2 linked regions of the Daphnia pulex genome follow. The protein of the gene in region 1 purifies or fractionates together with the protein of each later gene. This does not show direct contact. Links are inferred from orthologs where the notes say so. Each region holds a gene or a part of one and is shown on either strand. Other genes may lie near its edges. The genes, in order: proteasome assembly chaperone 3-like and proteasome assembly chaperone 2-like.

Region 1 (2,565 bases):
CAGTGTAAAAGTCGAGACCAAAGTGCAGCCGTCCATGTTGTTCAGCCAGGTCTACTTTAGACAGTACGTTAACCTGTGGCATTTCCATTTGGAACATGGATGTCATGGCCGTTAACAACACCGATATGAATTTACCTGATACAAATGTTTGGTTACTATGGTTCTATCTGTTAACAAATGCGGGTTTACCTGGATCACTGCAATAGTGAGAGTCGATCAGTTGAACACAGCATAAACGAAAACCAAATGCTTCTAACTGTTTCATAATGTTTTTTACAGAATTGTTGTGGGTATAGAGCTCAACCTACACAAAAAAGATTATTACAACTTTTCTAGAAAACAGTATCACCTGTATTCAATATACCTGTCCCGGTAGATCGAAGATGAAGTAATGATCTTTGAATTTCTCTATTTCCACAAAGAGCCAGTCCAAATTCTTTTCGAGGAATTCCATACAATAGACCAAGGCGCCGTTCGGACCCAAATTGTAATTTTCCATTACATCTTGGACAGTAATCAATTTTGATACATCAATGGAAGAGGTAAACGGTAATAAATCATTCCCAGGATCTAATCACAATCATATTAGAGATTTTGATTGGAAAAGTATAATAACATTTTAAAATACCTAAATTAACTAGAGCTACTTTACGATTCTGGGATCGAAGGAAATCCGCCATTGCATGACAATAAGTGGACTTGCCGCTACCGGGAGGACCTTATAACATTACACGGTAAAAATGTGTAGCAAATTTACGAACGTAATTTCTACATACCGATAACGGCTTGGCCGAAGATGGTTTTTCTTACAGACATGTTGGAAAATTTATGCAGATTTTTCGGTGAGGGAAAGGTTGATCTTTAGGAATTCGCCAACTTGACGAAGAGTTTTCGGCTGATAGTCTTTAAGTGACAAGGCAAATAAAATGTTTTGCTGTGTTGGAATAAAGTTCACCAAGAAACGTGCAGCAACGTGAATTTCCTCGTCGTCTCGACCGAATAAGACTCTACAAAATTGCAATGAAAGTTAAAAAAACGAAACGAAATTGAGACGACATACAAGAATTACCGAACGCTGTAAACTGCACTGGAAGAATCGTCTTTCTGAGCAACGTCCCGACGGACTTCAACCACGTTTCCCACCTTGCCGTATTGAGTAAGTATGATAAATAACTTGTCGCTAAAAAGGACAATGAATTAAAGTGTAAGTAATGCAAGCAATGAACTAAAGAATTATTCCAACCTGAACTTTGAAATGACAACTTCTGTTGAATTCCCGTTAATCTCGATAGTTTCTGTTTTAGTCTGGACGGGAAATCTTCCCGCTACACCTTCCATATCAAACGATATCCAACCTGAAAGATATAAAAATGGTTCGTAAAAATTAGTGGTCGTATAACAGAATGGAAAGCAATAAAATGGTAATTGACGTCAACTAATTATGATGTGATAAATGCATTTTTTTTTAAATTTTATCCAATTTATTGATCACAATAATCAAAAATTTTTTAAAACTCTAGAAACCATTCTCCTCTTGTAAAAACGTTGATACTCTTCAGGCAGCATGGACAGGTGTTTCAGAGCAGATTCAACCATCTCCAACGCCTGCAGTTTGAAAGTTGAGATAGAAAAATAACCGAGGCCCTGAAGCTTTGACAGTGCCTTACTTTTGAGGCCGGTAGCGGATCTTTGTTGCCGTAAGGGTCTTTTTTATCGTACACCTCTGGACTCAAGTTTCGCCAGAAAACGTTGACTGCTACGGAGAACTCGAGTGATGTCATATTATGAAACCACAGAGCCGGGATGAAAAGAACGTCTCCGGGCTCCATGATACATTCGTGAGATGTTACTTTGGCGAACTCCGGAAAGTGTTCCAGATCAGGAAAATCAATGTCGATAACCCGAGATTTGTCGCCTTCCAAATAGAGATACGGAAGGTCTTCTGGCGAATAGAGAACGGCTCGTTTTTTGCCAGTGACTTGGACAAGAAGATTGTCCATCACATCGTAATGTGTCCACAACTGAACTCCTTCAGAAGCCACCCTGAGGACACTTGAAAAAATAGTGCTTGGTTCCAAAAACTTGGGAACTTGAAAATCTTGGCAAAGTTCAGGATAATGAGAATCAAGATTGGCAACCTCTCTTCCCCTTGAATCAGTTCCAAGTGCCCTTAAATAGTAAACTTCACTGTTTGTTAGAAAAAAGTTTTCGTGCTCATTTTCAGAAGACCTTTTGATTACTTGATCAAACGGCAGTGTTTTATAATGAAAGTTTTTGGTTAGGAAATTCATTTGCCCTGTTTCAGATACATGAATCTTCACTGGCTTATTCCCAACATTTTGCGAAAGATATTCAGCTGTCCACTTTCCTAGACAACTTCCAATGTCTAATCCTCTGAGTATGACAGGACTTCGTTTGGGATGGATCTCATCAAAAAATTGTTCCATTAGGATATTGTTATAGACGGGAACTGGGCTGACTTTTCTTTCAGTCATTTTAAAATTTACTCTACTAACGAAAGATGATCACGTGTAAAAACTTGCTTTGGCTATAACAATTGAATGT
Region 2 (4,324 bases), on another chromosome or scaffold:
TTGACCATCAAAAGTCTCACACACACGTTGAATGGGAAAAACGTAAAAAAAAAAGAAAAAGAAAATTTCATGGTCAAATGGCCACACTGAAAAAAAAGTTGTTGATTTTCTTCTCAAACAAATTCACTTTTTTACACACGTAATTTTGTTTTGGTGATTTTTGTTTTTCTCTACCTCCCAGCCATCGTATTAGATATAGTGGGAAGAAAAGTGATGATTTTAACGGACAGTCTCTTCTTCAAACTGTCGGGAAAATTTTTCATCGGTTAAAAAAATTTTAAAAAGTGTTCCGTCATGCGGATCATTCCGCGCGGATGAGGAAATATATATCTATGATCTGTACACAACATCCAACGGTTATTTCCGTCGGTATTTTTTTTTTTCGCGACTCGGATTAGCCAAGTTCAACCACCCGAGATGGAGGAGGAGGGCATCACAGTAATGTTGTTGTTGTTGCGGACATCTTAAGAGCACAATGAGACGATAGGAATTGGACGCCAAAGAAGTAGGACGACACGGAAACTGGAGTTGGTTGAAGAGAAGATTTACCTGCTGCTGTGCTGCTGGGAGGTTTTAAAAACGTAACAACAGTCATTCACGTGTACACATAGGCAGTGGGTAGTATATCTAACTGTCAGTTGCGAGGGGAGCCAAATGGGATGGATCAGCAGAGCACGTCGGATAACCGACATATTTCATCTTTTTGATGTTGTTGCACACGCCACGGTATATATAGGAAAAATGCCGGCCGGATAGCGGTCGGCAGATGAGCTCAGTATCGTACCTCATCACATTGCGGTGGAAGATTCACCTCATTATACACAAGCGCCGTACCCTACATATGGTTAGCCATAATATTATTATTAGCAGGGCTGCTGAGATGCAGCGAAATCTTTTTTGATTGATCGCTGAGCGCGCTGGTTGCTCACGAGATTATTTCGTCTTTTTTAAAATCAGCCCGCGCTCCGTTTCTCATCGTCGGTTGAATTTCACGTGAACCGCAAAGTCGTTGCAGCGCGGAGAAATTTGTTTTGGGGAATTTTTGCAAGTTTAGGCGCATAAAAATCTTTCACAAAATCATTTGAACTATTTTGCTTTGTCATTGGTAAATGGGACTGAAAAATAAAAAGAGAAAAACGGAAAATTCTTATCTCATTGTGTCGGGGGGTAATATTTCATTTTGTTTTTGAAGGGAGAATGAGAGAGAGGAACCCTAACCTACATGTTCTGTTTTTACCCAACAATACAATTGTGGGAGGAGGAGGAGGAGGGCAGAGACCGTGATGACATGACAGGTGGATTTCATTTTTAGTTTATTTTTTTATTTTTTTTCCAAATTTATTTCTTTTTTTTTATGACCACCCACCCACTTATTCCAAGGAGGGAGGAAAGTCGCTAGGAGAGAGAATTATGTTTGTTTAATTGCTGTAATTTTAGAAATTCCTTCTTCAACCGACTAGAAACTCGCTGAACCCGATCATTCAGTTATTCAGTTATACCCCATTCACGCAAATGTCGTATCAACAAGGCAACTACGGGAGAGATTAATTGAGTTATAAGCCACCTAGCGGTGGAAATTGAAACTGGGGTGACGTCGGTAAAAATACAGCAGACGCTTTTTGCAAAGATTCCGCCAGTCATTTGTGGCTTTCAAGTTTACCAAGTTTAACACGTTTGCAATCCGTGGTCAAGAAAATGTTTGTCTTTCTGAAGAATAAATCACTGGAATGGTCTTCACTTCAAGATTACACCTTCATATTGGTAATTTCGTGCAAGGTGGATTGATTAAAGGCAGATCTCGAACTCGGCCGAAAAATTCGAACAGGGGAATTGCGTATTGGAAAGACGAGTGATTCATGTCAAAGCAGTTACGACATTGACTTAAATTTTTAGTGGGTAAATTGCATTCAGGGAACAACAATGTTATTTTCTTAATCGATAGACTTGAATAACTGGAAAGAATTATTATTTTTGAAGTAAAAATCGAGTTTGAAAAAAGGAGCCACCTGGCGGCCATTATTAGAATTGTGATAAGAGAACTGTCAAAAGTACAACTTAACTCAATTTCACTAAATGCGTAAAGTAAACTAAAATTTCCGCATACAAACTTGCTAGTCAAACGTAGTGAATGATTCGTGAAAAATTATTCCTTTCAAACCCGTCACCCAAATGACATGCTCCAAAAGTGCTAGTCTCTCAGCTGGGTATGTGGCGCGTACCTGTAATCCTGCTTCTGGGAGGCTTGGTGTAGTGGATGGCTTGAGGCTGGGAGTCCTGCTGGATCGTCGCTTGCGTTGAACAGGTGTCCGCACTAAGCTTGGCATCAACATGGATCGGTTGGAGTAATCCGGCAGATCCAGGTTATCTAAGGAGGAGCGAATCGGGCCAGGAGGGAAACCGAGCAGCCAAAAGTTCCCGTGTCGGGCAGTAGTGGGATCGCGCCCGTGAGTAGGCGCCTTTCAGTAGCCCAGCCAATAAAGTCACACCTACATCTTTTTTCGTCTTTTTTCTAATTGAATTTCATAGTTTGAGTATTTTTTGGATTTTATTGCATCATTAAATTGGTTTTCTGATTTTTCAGCCGGCCGTTTCAGTCGGCAACATCGGCCAGCTCTCGGTGGACTTGCTCATCAGCTCCCTGCACTGTGACAAGCTAGCCAAATTGGATCACCCCGTATTCGTACCCGTAGTTGGCAGTGATCCTTATGATGAAATACGGGAACAAGGCCTCATGACAGCAGCAGAATGTAATTTAATTGATATTAAATTTTTGACTGAATGGCATCTAATTTTCGCTAAAATTTCAGTATACATCAGCAAAGAAAAGAAACTGGTTATTCTACAGATTCGTGGTCTTTTGATTAAGGTAACTCATTGAAATTATTATTAATGTAAAGGTTTTAACCAGCTAATTCATTTATTACTCCCAAAAGGAATTTTGTGCCGATTTCTTGTCCCAGTTAGTGGACTGGATCAAGAAATGCGCTTTTGTCAAGACTATTCTGCTGTCCAGCCTCCACAACTACGAACGAGTTGATTCCCAACTCACCGGATCTCCATTCCGCTACACTGTGACTTCAGCTGTCAACTCGTCTATTGAAAACGAATTAAAGTAAATTGCGGAGAGATAAAATCAAGATCAATAATTGTATTCTAAAAGTATTGATTGAACTATAGGACTCTGCAGTGGCCTGCCCTGGAGACCCGACGTTCGGTTTGGAAGGAAGGCAATGAAGATATCCTTTTCTTCCCCGGTGGAGGATATACTAGTCTTCTGAATAAATTATGGTAGACGTGTTTATTCAATCCGTTTCGATTACGTTTTATAACTGAAGTTTTCCCTTTTATTCTGCAGTGGCGAAATGAATGTCCCTCTGGTAACTCTTCTTATATTTTGCGCCGAGGGTGACAATATACCGGGAGTTTTGCTGGTGACGGGTCATTTCAACCGGTGGCTAAACTTCGTACCAATGGCCAATGATGCCCCGGGCTGGAAATTCCCAGCGTCTTGGAAATTATTCTTTGGTGCACCAGCTCCCATGACCATGTATTGATTGATCAAAAAAAAATAATGATTGGCAAAGGAAAAGATAATAAAATCGAGTGATTGGTGAATTTCAATTAATTTAATCTTTTGGTTATTCGACGTGCTTGTTATGGAGCTGTTAGTCCAACCCCCAGGTCTCGTAACTGTCAGTTATACGTTAATAATAATAAAAAAAGGTACAGAGAAAGTGTTATGGAATTGCGATGCGGACGTTGGTTGGTGGGCGATTGCGTCATTGACTTATTGTGATGATCTTTTCCTTCAATTCTGCAGAAAGGAAAGAACGGCTGTTAAAGATAAGACATACGAGTTTCACGACTAGTTTGAGATTATAGCCTGTACCTTTAGAACGGACAAAAATCTTATAATTCAAACATGCATTTAGATTCCATTCATACTGCCGTGCAGAAATAAATATTATGTTATTGTGCCATTTACTTAAATATGAAAGGTCGCAAATGTATAGAACATAGGTTAAAAACCTGCGGAAGCCAATCGGACGAGGCGGAATCCGGCGGAACCGCGGAATCGATATCGGCCAAATAAGTCTCAGAATTTTTTTGCGCCAATAATTGATTTAAAGCTTGTCATGTGATAGAGTTCGAGTTTCATTTACTGATGGCAATCAACCAATCAGCGGTAAATTATATTTTAACAAATTTTTATTAAAAAATTAAATGTAATTTAAGCAAGATTTTGAAAATTTGCCACCGCTGTAAATGATATGGGGTTGGGGTGGGATTGTGGGAAGGGTAGAAATAGAATTTTCTTCTGCTC

Evidence for each region.
Region 2: the proteins of proteasome assembly chaperone 3-like (region 1) and proteasome assembly chaperone 2-like purify together in Homo sapiens (affinity purification with mass spectrometry; 4 studies listed by BioGRID and IntAct, counting the BioPlex papers as one, with this or other methods). This does not show direct contact. The link is inferred for Daphnia pulex from reciprocal best matches to the Homo sapiens genes PSMG3 and PSMG2.

What each region holds. Positions count from the first base shown.
Region 1 is NC_060019.1:10,650,266-10,652,830, reverse strand, and holds proteasome assembly chaperone 3-like, read right to left. Parts: upstream 1,339-2,565; coding exon 1,244-1,338; intron 1,181-1,243; coding exon 1,070-1,180; intron 1,008-1,069; coding exon 827-1,007; downstream 1-826. Other genes in the region: GPN-loop GTPase 2-like, read right to left, coding at 1-135, 190-304, 365-570, 629-718, 777-816. UniProt on the Homo sapiens protein: Chaperone protein which promotes assembly of the 20S proteasome. May cooperate with PSMG1-PSMG2 heterodimers to orchestrate the correct assembly of proteasomes.
Region 2 is NC_060026.1:15,321,072-15,325,395, forward strand, and holds proteasome assembly chaperone 2-like, read left to right. Parts: upstream 1-1,602; 5' UTR 1,603-1,695; coding exon 1,696-1,761; intron 1,762-2,581; coding exon 2,582-2,747; intron 2,748-2,807; coding exon 2,808-2,866; intron 2,867-2,933; coding exon 2,934-3,112; intron 3,113-3,177; coding exon 3,178-3,288; intron 3,289-3,355; coding exon 3,356-3,554; 3' UTR 3,555-3,615; downstream 3,616-4,324. UniProt on the Homo sapiens protein: Chaperone protein which promotes assembly of the 20S proteasome as part of a heterodimer with PSMG1.